Struthio camelus: one gene and its partner. The protein of the gene in region 2 purifies or fractionates together with the protein of the main gene of each other region. This does not show direct contact. Links are inferred from orthologs where the notes say so. Each region holds a gene or a part of one and is shown on either strand. Other genes may lie near its edges.

What was found.
Region 1: the proteins of PHLPP2 (region 2) and WDR48 purify together in Homo sapiens (affinity purification with mass spectrometry; 5 studies listed by BioGRID and IntAct, with this or other methods). This does not show direct contact. The link is inferred for Struthio camelus from reciprocal best matches to the Homo sapiens genes PHLPP2 and WDR48.

What each region holds. Positions count from the first base shown.
Region 1 is NC_090943.1:6,911,376-6,919,371, forward strand, and holds the start of WDR48 (WD repeat-containing protein 48), read right to left. Parts: upstream 3,003-7,996; 5' UTR 2,970-3,002; coding exon 2,922-2,969; intron 1-2,921. UniProt on the Homo sapiens protein: Regulator of deubiquitinating complexes, which acts as a strong activator of USP1, USP12 and USP46. Enhances the USP1-mediated deubiquitination of FANCD2; USP1 being almost inactive by itself.
Region 2 is NC_090951.1:392,242-399,717, reverse strand, and holds the start of PHLPP2 (PH domain leucine-rich repeat-containing protein phosphatase 2), read left to right. Parts: upstream 1-4,463; coding exon 4,464-4,592; intron 4,593-4,907; coding exon 4,908-5,152; intron 5,153-6,569; exon of another isoform or gene 6,570-6,715; coding exon of another isoform or gene 6,716-6,732; intron 6,733-7,476. UniProt on the Homo sapiens protein: Protein phosphatase involved in regulation of Akt and PKC signaling.

The DNA of each region.
Region 1 (7,996 bases), on a different chromosome or scaffold from region 2:
TACAAAATCCCCTAATGAATAAGAATGTTTCACTACAGTAGATGCTGCACAAACATTACAAAGTGATGGCCTTCATTATAAAGATTTTATGGAGTTCAGTACCCTAAACGGTTCAAGACTAATCATTTTAATGACTATTTTGGAGCGCCAAGAGCTAAATCTACAGTCAACAGAAATTTCAGCGTACCAAGTCAAATGAAGTTCTTGAAGGACCTATGATGTTTCTCCTTTATGGACAACAAGTATATCAGCTAATCTGAAATTTTGCTACCCATGTGAGATTACATCTCTTACAACAGACACTATCCTAACTGATGGGCAGAATCTCCATGTCTCGAATCTGCTTTAAAAATATCAGCACACCATCACGGTGGAGGATAAGGTGAACAGCCAAAATCTGACAGTGTGCATTTCTTCTTCCTAAGCAGAGAAAATTTTCATAGACACAAGTGCTACCATAGATAATTGTAAAAAAATGGTATTTTTCAAAATTACTGGAAGGATTCCACAACATTTGGCATCAATTTCATTAAAAAAAAAGAGAGAAGAAGAAATCAAGAAAAAGCAAGCTATTTCTTTAGCATCTTTGTAGAGCAGATGATACACCTTAGAATAAGTTGTTAACTAAGGAGAGGTCTGTATTTGAATTATCAGGAGTTCCAGACCCTAGAATAAAAGTAATAGAAGCTATTGTGAATAAGATGAATTTTTCAGTGAGTCAATTGACTTCCTATTCTTTTGATTAGGTATTACAAAAACAAAAAAACTAATATATTATGGCATTTAATATATTTAAATTCTAGCATGCTTTTAATACAGGCTACTATTCAAGAAAATTAGTAGCTGAAATATTTTCTAAATGTAAGGGAGCTTTTTTGTTTCACTAGTTTCCAGTTGCTGTCATGATACAGTACTGGTGCAGAAACATGATAGAAACTCAGTGCAAAAGTGTTTTCTTATTATGTACAGCATATTTTAGTGCATGATAAAAAGTACTTAAAATTGATTCAGTAAATTCGTAATCAAGATACTGATCGAAATCACTTATGGTGAAATTCACCCTTTGGGCCAAAGGGATTTGAGGGTGGAGGGCGTCATACAGACCAGGCAGCAGGTTTGGGAGAACAGTTACAATGCAGTCACTCAAAAAAAGCTACTTTAAGCCATCTGCTGAAAAGTGGATTCATCTTGACTTAATCCACAGTAATACATCTGAAAGTCATAGCACATGGCCAGCCCTTTCTCACCAGATAGCTCCTGCTACTCCCACACCACTATATCCCCATTCCTTCCCCAGCTCAGGCAGCCTTACTATTGCAGCCTTCATATATGCATAGTTAAGCTTAAGAAATGCAAACAGCATTCCAGTCGACATTTTAAGTGCCTGATCTACATTTAAATTTCTTACCTTTATTTATGTACAGAATCTATTTTGAGGCTTAAAATGTCTACTCTGATTTAGCCCTCAAACACATACAGTTAGATACACAGAAGTGCCTTAAACCGACTGTTTTGGTTGCTTACCAGTAAAATGGATGCATCTAAGATAATAGTTCAGATTTCAGTAAACTTTAACCAGCTCTCATGTCAGGTTATGAATGAAGTTCCTCTATGCCCAAAAGGCACTCTTCTGAAAGTCTTTTCCCCTATCCTTAAAGGTTCTGGAGAAAATTCTCCTTTTTTAAAATAAGAATTCCTAAAGAAATAGGATTACACCAAAAAAAAACCACCTAGTTATCATAAATATCTTCTCCTTATGAGAAAAACCTGCAAGAACTTGCATATGACACAGGTAATGAAGTCAATAAAGGGATATTATATTTCCGATTCTTTGCCTTTTAGACATTGCCAGAGGGTTTTTTTGGAAGAGTAAGAGAATTCCTTATCTAATACAGTACAGGCCAAGTGCTTACCTTAACTGCGGAAAACCACTAAAGGCTCTAGAAAATATTACATTTCCTCTCCGCAGCAAAATACAAAAGATGCATTCAAAAACCGAACCCACCTTTGGAAGGATCCGGATACTATTTCAGAATTAATCACTATTTCTTTTGGTCATAGTGGCTAGACAGAGTTGAGACTTGAACTTGCCACTAGAGGTAGGCAGCTTTACACAGTGATAAAACATTAAATCTTTACCGCATTTAAAACTGCAAAAATATTTAAGGAGCTGGTAGTACGGAGAAAAAAAAAAAAAAGTTAAGGATCATAATAAAACCGTTTTAACCACTTCAACGTTAAAGAGAATCTTTACTTTCTGTAGGTATTTCAGCACTCCCAAACTCCAGCAAGGTTACTCGGAATACTCGTACCTACATAGACACCTGCCCTACGAGCCACACTGCAAAGCCTGATCACGTCTCAGGTGCATTAAGAAAGTTTCCATCCACTGGACTGACTTGCCCACGGTCTTCCTTTAGGGAAGGCTTAGTGGGAGCCGGAAAGGGGAGAGGGGTGGGATGCTTCAGCCCCGCCTGACCCAGCTCAGCCGCAAGCCGCGCTCCAGCCCGCCCCTGCGCGGGCGTTAGCGACCGCGGGGCGCTCCAAGGGCCGCGGCGGTGCCAGGCGGCCCGCACCGCCGGCGGGAGAGGGCGGGGGGCCTCGGGGGTGTTGGGAAAGAGAAAAAGGCGGCTGCGTTGCCATGGAAACCGCCCTATTCCCTCTCCCCCCGCCCCCGATGGCAGTCAGGGCCCAGCCCCGCGGGCCGGCGGCGGCGGCGCCTCCCCCCCCCCCACCTCGGGGCGGGCCCGCGCCCTCCGGCCTCTCCCTGACCCCCCCCCGCCGCCGCCGCCGCCGCCCGCTGGCCCTCCCCGCTCCGCTCTGCTCCGCCCTACCCCGCCCCACCCCCCCGGGCCGGGCCGCAGCCGCGCCGCCTCTACCCCCGCCCGCAGCCCCCCGGCCCGGCCGGGCCGCGCCCTCACCTGCACTTTCCGCCGCCCCGCCGTGTTCTGCCGATGATGCGCCGCCATCTTGCATGTTGACACTCTGATGTCATTTCCGAGGAGGGTGAGCCGCGCCGGAAGTCCCGCCCCTTTCCCTCCCTGTAGCCGCGTAGCGGGATGGGGAGGTGTGGCTGGCCGCGGCGTTGCTAGGGGAGCTGCCCGAGGGGGCGGGGCCTGAGGGGCGGGGCCTGAGGGGGGCGGGGCGAGGCGCGGGATGGAGGCGCGGGATGGAGGCTCCGCCATGTCGTGCGCGGGCCGAGGGCTGCGGGTTGCGACGGCGACCGCCTGCCGCGCGGGGCAAACGCTGCAAGGGAGATGCAGCCCGAGCCCTTGTGTGAGGCTGTCCTGTCACGGCCGCCTCACGTGTTACAAAAAGAGGATAGCGCTGATAGCGAGCCGCCTCGGGAGCAGAGCGGGTGCGCGTTGTTTTGTCAGACGGACGGCCATCCCCCCTCACGTCCCCTCGGGCCGCATCCTTCCCTCCTCCGTGAGGCCAGCAGGTGCTGGGCCACACCGCGCCCTGTGAGAGAAGGCAGCTCGGGGGGGACCGGGCCGGCCTCATGCTTCGGGGTGGACGTCCCGCCCCGACACCTGAGGAGCTCTCATCTTGTGGGCGATAGCTATGTGAAGTGGTGTGTGGCGGACTGCCTTGGTGGAAGACATCTTTACGGTGCTGGTTCTTACAGCAGAACTGCAAAGCAGTGAAGGTGGTTAGAAGAGGAGATGGGTGGGATGAGCAGATAATTAGTGAAAAAGAAGGATTTTTACTGGCAGAGCAAATAATCAGTAAAGGGGTAAGGAAGAAAGGGTGTTGGTTCATGTTCTTGATCAATACTGGTTGCAGCCATATGTGGAAGACTCAGTAGCTGCTTCAGTTCTGCTACAGAGATAAACTTTGTGTATTTTGATACAGATCGTGTCTTCTAGCATTGCTGAGTGCAGCAGGATCTCATCACAGCTGCAGGTGGAGGGTATGATTCTTGAAGGAGATCTTCCTTGACCAAAGCTTTCTTAACTCTAGCATTTCTACTATTTTGTCCTTATTATGGTCGTGGGAAGCATATGATTTGAGGCACCTCATAAGTCAAGTATGAAACTGTGTTTAATTTATTTCATTTTTTCTAAGATAAAATTAAACCTTTTTCTGAGAAGAGCTCAGTTGTGTATTGGCTTCTGGCCAGCAGTAATTATCAAAGAGTCTCAGATGCTGTCATGCATAGAATATGTTATCTTATCATATTCTGGGCTGGAGAAAAATGTGGCAGTGTGAAGTCTTCTGCTTAAGTAAATATTGAGCAAAGTGCCTCGCTACATTTCAGTATGTGTTAGTCCATTAAAACGCTGAAGATTTCTTCTAATTGCACAAGTTTTGTGCATACCTCAAAGTCATCTCTTACTGTCTTTGAAAGATAGTGAAATGTTTGTGTTTATGATTTTTGTGATATTCCTTGATAAACTGGAGTAATAATTTCATTCATAAATCCTAGTCATCGTTTCATAATCCATAATCACTAATGAGTTATTCATTTGATAAAATTCATCTCATCATGTTGCGTCTGCAAGGGTAGTGTTCATTTTTTGTATGTTTGGTTTAAAGTTGAATTTACTTATGGACTGAGGACCTTTTATTTCTTTACGTTATTATGGGATTTTTTAAATTTTTTGCATGTTTAAGAGCTGGCTATTCATGGATAGTCATTGCTGTTTATATATATATAATACAGTGCTTCTTAATTCTTTCAGATCATCAATTCATTAAGTTGAAGTAGAAAAAGATCTAGTGATCTCTTTATATCAGACAGTCATTGAGGTTGCAAGGGACCTCTGAAGATCGTCTAGGCCAAGGACTGTCATATTTGCCTCTTTTTTACTGAAGGCTGCTGAAGATATGAATTATGATAAGGTTCTATGCTTTATGAGAGTATGTTTAGCAAGCCTAAACTAACCCAGAGTCATTAAGTTATAAGGGTAAGATTATGCAAAAAATACGGTAAGTAAGATTTTCTTTGTTAAGCAGTAAAACTTTCAGCATTTCATCACGTTTGTCTCATTTTAGGAAAGTGATAAGATGATCTAATTTGTTAGGTTAGCTCTTTGCTTTTTGTTGTGAGACCCTCTGTTCACTTGTTTAACTGTGACAAAATTGACTCTTCCACATGCAAGCTTCCATTTTGGGTTCCTCCTTTGGGTATTGAGTGAGGTTTTTGATATTAGGGAAACTATGTTTTGATATATGAGTCCAGAGGTGACTTTTCAATTTCCATGAAAATCATCTCTGGCTAAATTGTGAGCTTCTGAAAACACCAGTGTGAGCAAAAGAAGGTTGAGCCAAAATGGAAGCAGGGAGAATTGAATAGGGTCAAGGGGTTAAGCCAGGAGGTTGACACCAGGAGAAAAGTAGGATGAAAGTGCAAGGAATAGAAATGCTTATTGGGTGAATAATCATTGTAATAGGTAAGAATATAAAGATAATATTTCCTCTGTACTGGTAGACTCAAGAGTCCGATAGCATTTCCCTGCTTCTTCTGTCTTCTGTTCCAGTCCTGCTTTGTAAGGTTTGACTTTCACAGGCTTCCAAAAAATGTTAAAAGGATTCAGAAATATGCGATAAGAATGATTTGAGGCCTGAAAAGTATGAATGACGATGAAAAATCCAGATGGATTTTTTCTACAGAAGAAGAGAGGAAACATGATAGCTATTTTCAAATAAATAAAAAGAAAAATGGAATAAACTCCTTCGTGTCCATGATGAATGAGACAAGAAGTAATGGGCTGAAATTACAGTTCAGGAAATTCAAATGAGGCACTAGAAAAACCTTTCTGGCAGTCAGGATGGTGAAGCACTGGAACACGTTCCGTATGGAGGTTTTGGAATCACCATCTGCTGTATCGAATATCTCTAGGAATTATATCAGTGTAGCTGATGCTGCCTTGGGCTATAGCAAGGACTAGATGCTTTTAGGAGATCCCTTCCAACTTTGTTTTTTCGTATAATTATGCAACTACAAGTGGAAAAGGGTGTTCGTAAAGGAAAACCTCTTTAATCCATCAAGAAAAGCCATAATAGGTTCCCTAGCTGGGAGATGAGCTAGATGAATTCGAGGCAGGAAGAAGATGCGTGTTTTAAGACCAGCTAATCACTGAAAACAAATCCCCAATGGACATGATAGATTCTACGTAGCCTGAAGCCAAAAGTATTGTAGCCAATATATAATTTATGGATATGACTCTGATGTGACTGAAATTACTGTATTTAGTCCGTATTTTATGGGATGTGAAACTTGGTGATCTTAAGTCCTATTTAATTTTTTTTGCATGGCTGAATTTTTCTGGGATTTTATATTCTGCACTTCTCCATATACAAGACAATTATTTAAGTAATATAACCCACTGTTTTTTTTTTTTAAACCTTCGTGTCAAAAATCTGCTATAAAAGTCACAAAATTATGCTTACACAGCCTGTACAATAGTCACAGATACTACTGTGGTTCTCTGTAAGTAGTGGGTTTAAAACTGCACTTCTTTCTGTTAGGTTAAGTTCTGGAAAGTTGCAGAATATCATCTGAAATAAAGTTGTAGTTGTAGAAAACGGTCGAGCAAATATCCAAGTTTTCTGTAGTACGTACGCGTGTTAAGGTTTAGAATGAGTGAGTATTTGTAGAAGTTTAATGAAAAATACTGCAAATCAGTTTACACGCCATTTTTGCTTACTGGATCAGGAGTTAGTTTCTTCAGTAGCGTGGAAGAGTGAGAGGGAGTTAAATTTGAGTCACTAAGGCAGTTGGTGGGTCTGGGCTTGTATCGCAACTAGACCGTGTATGAGCAAAAGGCTCTGCGGATATACTAGCAAAACAGTGACTGCTCATTAATTTTTAATTACTACCGCTTGATGTTGAGTAGAAACTGTAGAACTAGGATAATGGAAAGAAAACAAATTTTGAGTCATTTTGATAAATAAGATGCCCCAGCTAGCTAGACAGGAGGGATGGACAGAATTTAAACAAGAGAACTTTGGAGAATAATTATCTCAGCATGAAAGTTGATTTAAGTTTAGTTTTTTCACAGTAATCTGAGAACTACTAAGTACTGTATTATAGTTCATTCACATGTACGGCTTGTTTGTTTCTCTTTAATTTGCAAAGCTGCTTGGTATTGCAAAAAATTTACCAGTTGCATCCTTGACAAAAAGGTGAAGTTTAAACTTCAATCTTACAGGGAACTGCAGTAAGAAATAGGTTTGAAACCAAATGACCCAGTCTTTGTGAGAGCTGTGGTACTTGCCGTTTCATAATCATGCCTGGAGCCATACAATAAAAGGTGACATTTCATGAAGAAACTGTATGAAAAACAGTGCATCAGAAAGATTGGAAATCTCTCATAGATGATAATAGTAATGTTTTGCATTCTTACAACATCTTACTTTTGAGGAATACAAAATACTTCAAAGATACTAATAGTATATTTTTCAGAATGCCAAGAAGAAATAGATGGAATAACTGTCTTTAGGCACTGAGCTGATTTTCAGTCTTATTCAGTGCACATTAGATCATTATGCAGAAAGCTACTTTGTGTAACAATGCCTTTAATGTGTACTTACCATAAAAGCCATTTCCTGTTATTCTGTAAAACCAATTAGCTATTTAAAAGATAGGAAATTTCATGTCAGTGTACTTTCTTACTCTGCTGTGCTGTATGAACAATGGGAAATGGGAATCATATAAATTACTATCTTGATAAATACATTAGCTACTTTACGCTATTACATTCTTTTCTAAAAGGGATTGGGGCACACCTTTAGTTTAGCTCAGAAATGTTTCTTAGTCTCCGCCCTGCAGTTCCTCCTTAGGGTAAAATCTGTTGAGAGACAAACGCAGATCTTTATGTATTTTCTATAATATAATTCCATTTCTGTGTTTGTGTGTGTGTATTCTTTTGTGTTGTGTTTTATACATAACATTGTGCATTCCAACAATAGCAAAGAAGGCAAATCCCCCCTCTACCTTTCTTTTTGCCTGCTACTCTATGTCACTCTTGTTCCGTGGATTTGATATTTT
Region 2 (7,476 bases):
TCTTGGGTGCTGAGCATCCACTCTTGTTATTTCAACTGCAGTTGTGTTTATTCATCACCCCACTAGCTCAAACTCCTTAGCATCACAAACTGAGCATGTGGAATCTAGACTAATGAGCTCTGAGGGTGTCCCAGATATGATACTGAGCTAATGGAAAGTCTGTGCCTTAGTTCCTGAAAGCCCCATGAGCTCCCTCATTCTCCTCAGAGATTTGCATGTGGTCACTTGTACTGAAGACTGTACTCAGTCTCTGTTCCTTTTTGTCAAGAGCATCACTGCTACAGTAGGATTAGATGAGGGGGAAAAAGAAGTAAATGGTCTCTCTCCTGGCCAACTTGTTGCAGCATAGTTGGGAGCAGAGTATCTTGTCCCTCTTGTTGCACTTGTTTTCTGTCTGCTAGAGCAGGTGAATTTTGTAGTTGGTCTGGTAAGCTTTTTGCGGATAAGTTCCTCTTCTGTTCTTGGCTTCTCCAACCACCTTTGTGCAGAAGTGTGTGTTGTGAGGTTATTCTGCCTGTCATATTTCTGAGTCAGGCTAAAGGAGATGGTGCATGTACCTGAAGGGTATTCTGCTTGAAGCCGTCCCTTGGCTTTGAAGTACTCCCTTGTGGCGGCTGAACATTCCTGTTGTCCTTGGAACTCTTTCCCTTTCTCTTGCTAAGGGATAGGGTGCTAACGTTATCCCAAAATGAAGGCTGGGTTTCACACTTTCCCCTATCTTCAATGCCAGATCCCTTTGCTTGCTCCTTGACCCTTGGTACATCTCTTAGCCTCTGTGCTGCTTCTTTGTTTTGTCGCTGGAGAGTACTCGCTTGTCCACCTCGTGAAGCGCTCTGAGGACAGAGTGCGTTCAGTCTTTATTCCACCAGCAGAATGCAAGAGTTTTTATCAGTCTGCTCAACCTGCTCCTTGCTTTAAGGTAAGGGGGACATACAGGGAGCAAGATACAGACTTCATGGCTAATCTTATTTATATCTGCATTGGAGACTTTTTAGCTGGGAGAGGTTGAATGTTTTTTTTCAAGTGAATGTATTGTCTTTTGAGCCAAGAGATGGCAAAAAGATTAGTGGCCATATTGGACCTGAAGGGGGAGGAGACATGGGAAGGTCTTAAGATTTGACTTTGTCCAGCTTTGGAAGGGACAAAATATGGCCTTGAACAACTTTTTGAAGCAATAGCAGTGAGGGGGCTGCCACCTATACAGGACCATGGATCTTTAACTCAGAAGATGCTGAAACAGCTGGCACAGGTGCTTCAGTCCCTTCCCCAGGGCTGGTACTGGCTGCAAGATGGAGCAGCAAAGATGGCTTTTTTTAGACCTGCTGGTGCGCTTTCTATGTGTTCATTTTCTACTTGGGGGCTGTGAGGGAAGAAGCTATGGGACTGCTTCCCTCTGTGAACTTTCACTCTATTCCTGTATAGTCCTTTTTCTTTCCTGACGTTGTAATTTGCATTTTACATGAATCCCCATCCCACCTCCTTCACAGTATATTTAAAAAATAAAAAAATTAAAAAAAAATGAACATGCCATTGGAGCAGGGAGCCTGGTGGTGTTCTAACTTCTGCAGACTTATTTTTGAGATGTGAAAAATTTAAATAATTGCTAAGTCTTAGGTGAGTGAGGAGCATAACGGATGTAAACATTTACATGGGATGCATTAGACTTCTGCTGTGTGTATTGTCTTTTGGTTGAAACAAATTACGAAGTGACTAACAATAAAATGAGTCAATATTCAATGATTTAAAAGCTGTGCCTTGTTGCTTTTTGCAAGTACAGGGGGATAGGCCTTTTTTGTTCTTACAGTTGGCCATAACAAGGTCGGACAATGTGAAATAATAAGCAAGAAGGTAGTGCAGATTTTTCAAAGTTTTCTGGGAAGCTTAAAGAGCAAAATGAGTGCTGACAATTATGAAAAATTATTAAACAAGTGATGTGAAATATCCTTCTAAAAGAGAGCTTGTCAGCTAGAGGCAGCAATACACGTCCAGGTGCTAGAAAGATGTGATGAGAATTGAACATAAGAAAAACTTTCCTGTATCTGCAGCCTGTCCTTGGAGTTGATTCCCTCACTAATTAAAAAGCCTCTTTTCATATTCTGTATGCCTCTAGGATGAAGACTGCTGTAATCCCATTATCCATTAAAGCAATATAAGTGCCTGCTCTGAGTTCTTCCGTGTTTTCTAGTTGCAGTAACATTGCATTAGACAATCTTCTCGTGTGCGCTCCGGCACACAATTGCACTTCCTTCTGCAAAATGTGATAGCCTCTGTATTGCCATGTGTCCATCCTTTATGGAAATTCTCTTGAGGCAAAATAGTTACAGAACTATTGCTATACTATTGCTATAATGCTGTAGCTAAAATCCATTATAATTCTACCTTTCTGTAGGGAAAGCTCCGTGAAAAATGGATTTGATTTTTTTTCCCCCCAAGCTTTTCAGCTTATTTATGTAGTATGGAGGTGTTAAGAACTAGATGGCCTTTTCTGTGACTGCCTTGGCTAATGACATGAATTAATAAAAAGTGGCTAGGACTGCACTTAACTACAGTGATGGGATGAGTTGTCTGTCAGTTCCATATTCCTCCAGATACTCACCTGAGCATTTAGATATGGTATCTAAAACTGCCAGTTTGCATGGCATCAAGAAGTCACTCGTCACAGGTCCTAGTTCTGGAGCGGGACAGATTGTTCAGAAGCATTTCCTTGTCATTCCTTCCATCAGGACAATGCTGACCCAGTTATCCCTGTGAGTCTAGCCTTAGCCCTGAAAATACTGCACGGGCAGTGCTGTGCACTTTCAGAGTGTACGCAACACATACGCCTGCAATCCTGATTCTTTGACAGCCCAGGAAGATGGCAGGAACTTTTTAAAGGAAATGTATTAGAACTAAGAGAGCGTTTGGCACAGTAATAATGCCAGTAGGGACACATAATTTGGAAAGCACATCTGGAGTTAACTCTGAAATTAGACCGGAAGTCAATGTATCGGGAAAGAATTGTGATGATGACTTAAGATTGAGCCCAGATGCTCTCTTGAGAGCGGACTTGTCGTGAGGGTGTTTGACTTGTGTCTTTGTTAAAGTTTGGAAACACTGGTGATTATGGAGAAGGCAGGAGGCTTTTGTTACCTTGTTTTTTAAATGCTTGACCTTGTGCGGGAATGAACAATACCCGCCTCAAAGCATTCTTTTCAGTCTGCTAAAACAGCATAGCAGTGAAAATTAGCATGTAATAGTTAAGACTGCCTGGTGCTGATGTGATGGACAGCAATTGCAGGAAGAAGATTTTCAGATGCTCTGCTATGTAACTTCAGCCATGGGAGGCAGGAACACGGGTTTTGCTATTGCTTGTCTGAGTAAGGCTTCATCCACTTAGATGTGAAACTTTGAGTGACTGGTAACAGACACTTGGGAGGTGAGCACCCAAAATCTTGTGATAGACGGTTCTACAAAATACAGGTAAGCTTTTATCTTCTTTCCTTACCTGGTTCGTAAGTAATTCCTACCTCTTTCCCTTCTTAAGAAATAGCTGTATAACTTGCATTAGCGAAATTGCAAAAATATCCCGAGCAAGTTATTTTTGGTCGGCTAATGTCACAGTCCTCATGTGCTGACTTTACAAATTTTTCTGGAATGTCTCCAGTTTAATGCTAATTTTGAAATACAGAAGATACCTGCTTTAATTCCAGGCAATTAAAATAATGGAAAATCCGAATCTATAATCTTAGTGAAAAATTCTAGGGTCACAGTTTGGTTGTTGAATGATTCTTAATACATTAATTTGTGTGTTTTAGCTGTGTTAAATGGAGTAAAAATGGACACTTGCTAAGCTTCGAAGCCTATTCTGAATTATTCTGGGGGTCTTGATCGGTTTTTGGCCTTTTGAACGTCAGTGCCCCGGGAAGGGGGGGACGGAAGGAAGTGCTGAGGCCGGGAGAGGAGGGGGGAGAACGAGAAGGGGCCGGCGACGCTGTCGGAAACCTTCGCTCTTGGTGCAGCGCGGGGTGCTGCGAGCGCCCCCCCCCCCCGTCCGGTCCCGCTCCCCCCCCCTCCCCCGGTCCGGTCCGGTCTGGTCCGGTCCGGCCCGGTCCGGTTCCGCCCCCCCTCCCCCCCCCGGTCCGGTCCGGTCCGGCCCGGTCCGGTTCCGCTCCCCCCCCCCCCGGTCCGGCCCGGTCCGGTCCCGCTCCCCCCCCACCCCCGGTCCGGTCCGGTTCCGGCTCCCCCACCCCCGGTCCGGTCCGGTCCGGTCCGGTTCGATCCGGTCCGGTCCCGCTCCCCTCCCCCTCGCGGTGCGGTGCGGTCCCCCCTCGTCTGGTTCCGCCGCCCTCCCGGTCCGGCCCCCCCCCCCCCCCCGCGGCGGGGCGGGACGGGGCGACGGAAGCCCGCGTGCTTCCGGGGCGGGGCCTGCGCGGGGCCGGTCCGCCGCCGCCGCCGCCGGCCGAGGTCTCGCCGTCCGGCCAGTGATGGGGGAGGCCGGGCCGGGGCCGGGGCCCAGGGCGCCGCCGGAGCCCGAGGAGGCGGCGGCGGCGGCGCCTGGCGGCGCGCGAGGAGGGGGCCGGGCGGGGCCCCGCGGCGGCATCCGGGTGCTGAAGGTGGGGCCGGGGCCGGGACCCTCCGGCGGCCGCCCCCGCCGCGCCGCCCTTGGCGGCAGCCGGGCGAGGCCGGGGGTCGGGTGGGGGCCGGGCCGGGCCGGGCCGGGCCGGGGGGGCGGCGGCGCTGCCCGTCTCGACCTTGCCGGGCCGGGCCGGGCCGGGGGGGGCGGCGGCGGCCTGCAGCCCCGCCTGGCTGCGAGCGCGGCCGGGCGGAGGGGGCGGCGGGGCCCCCCGGCGGGTCCGGGGCGGCACGCCTGCCGGAGGGGGAGAGCAGCCGAGGTAGCACCTAACGGTCTTGTTTTGCTCCCTTGGCAGAGAAACGTGAAGCGCAATGGGAGCAGAAGCTGCTTGAACAGGAGTCGGTTTGGTTCCCGTGAGAGGGACTGGCTGAGAGAGGACGTTGGACGAGGCTGCGTATACGTTTATGGAGGAGATTCTGCAGTTACTGCTTCCTCTGACTTGCGCTTGGTCCTTTGTACGGTGGACACCCCGGTATCTGAGATATGCGATGGAGAAGAGAGGGAAAACCTCTTTCTGCAGCTTCATGGAGACCTGGTCAGGTGAGGGCTGAGGAAGCATAGCTCTGCTTTGAGGAATATGTGCTGTAACATGCAGGGCTCTCTGCTTGTTGTATGCCTACATATGTCATCAGGGTTGATATGGAACAGACAGAGGTGGCCCAGAGTACTGCAGTTCATAAAGCAAGGTCGTGGTGAGCCTTTTGCACATCTTAGTCAAGCCATAGGTATTTTAGCTGGGAGGGGCTGACTGGCTCTCCAACCAGAAATAGATCCGTATTTTGTAGGTAGAGGTTACTGTTCATGTACTTCTTTATTATCGTTTGTCTTAGTGCTGTTTTAAAATCAATAAAACGTAAGCCGGTTAAGAGGCTGTAAGCGATTATTCTGAGTCAGTAAAACAGGTATAGTACTTTGACAGTTATGTCTAATAATGTTTATATGTTAGTAATTTTTTGGCTAAAAATATCTTCTTAAAATGAATTGCAAGGTAAATAACAATTAAAAGTAGACACAGAGGTAGCATAAGGGTTATATAAAGAAAGCTTATGCTTCAGGTCATGCATTTTATGTCTGCAGGTTGAAAATAGACCTTGGCATAGGGTTTAATGTGTGCGAACTTTATGCTGAGTGTATTATGGACTCCTCTAGGTTTACAAGCACCCATTAGGGATGTTAGAATTTAGACTTTGCATTGATTCTTCTGGACTTAAAATTCAGTTATAAAGTTGCTGCTCCTCTTTCCTCACAAAAAAAATGCACTATGATCCTGTTACTAAAGACTAGGCGGTAGAGATTGACATCACGAGCTGAACAGGAGCAGTATCTGGCTTCCAGAAATTGAAATGAAAATCGTATGTTGTACGGGTCCAAGGATAGAAAACATATCACGTATGTTTGATCAGATAGGGGGGGTGCGAGAGGCAAGAGATGTGGAGAATAGGATGCAATTAAAACTGACCGTTGAAAATGGTATTTAGACCTGTTTGTCTTGTCGTGTCTGGGTTATAGGAAACGGAGATAGGTCAGTTAGAAAGCCGTTAGATGAGGATAGACAGACACTTGAGTGGAGCCATGGAGGCAGCTGAAAATCTCCATTCATTGACTGAAGTATTTATAAGGAAATTAGCTTGCTCTGTACCATTGCAGAGAATAGAGAGAGCATTTAGAAGAAAGCATTGACCCCTTACTGCCGATCGCAGGAAGACTGGCTGAATGTATATCTCTCTTTTTGCGCTAGATAGCAGTGCCTGTCTTTGATTTGTGGCCAGCTTTGCACTGGATTGACAAATTGGTCCTGCCACCAATGTTCTGGAAGCAAACACCAAGTTGTAAACCTGGTTAATTCCCACTCGTAAACTTGTTGCTTCATGGTGCGTCTAGCAATTTGTCAAGCTTTATCTTGAGTTTGATGGAGAGTTTTTGATTCTTGCATGTCTGTTGCCTTTGTAATTCTCAGAATATATTTGCCACAAGAGGGATCCCTAAATTACTTCCCGTTTGAGGTGTTCTCAGTAGACAAATGGGAGTTACCAGTGTTGCTTCAATCTCTGTTGATAACCGGAAGCATGCCCAAATGGTACCTGCTTGCATTTCCACAGGAAGATGACAAAATGCTCAAGGTATCCTCATGCTCTGCTGAGATAATTCCTTCCTTGCACAAAGTTTGCTGATTACTTTAATAACGTGTTTGTGAATACAGATTGCTCAATCAAGCATCTGATTGCATTTTTCCATGAGTGTGTTAGTCTCCCAAATAGCTTCTGAATTCTCCACCCTTTTAATCTCAGTAGGTGACTTTCTGTCAAAACCTGAGTATGGCAAAGGATCATATGGTGTGGTACCTGACTGAATGCTACCTGGACAGCAAATGGAAGAATAACAGAAAACTTCTTCTTCATGTATTTGCTTTAAATATTCAGTAGTGTCCTTGTGATCTTTCTGCAGTTCCCTTCTAAGTATGTATGCAGTGGAGTCGGTTTCTGACAGAATTTTGTCTTATTCTTCACAGTGCAAGTCAAGGATCTTCAAGGTTTTCCTTGCTAGAATCTTTCTGTTAGCATCCTTTCCTATTCAAAAATATCCCTTCCTGCAGAGGGGAGGATTAGACAAAAATAGCATGGATACCTTCTTTGGTCTGGATACCCATCGCTACAAAACTTCTACTTAAGAAGGTTTGAAAACTGATTGTTACCAGTGAAGAAGAGCTACACGTGCAGTGGGAATTGTGAAATTGTTGCTGCTTCGTTTTGGCTTTGCTTCTGTCTTCTTACCACTTGCACGTTTGCCTAACAGAGCTGCCTCTCCCACTCAGTGGAAGCGGCCAGTATGCGATACGGATGCGGGTATAATGGGTTGTTTGTATC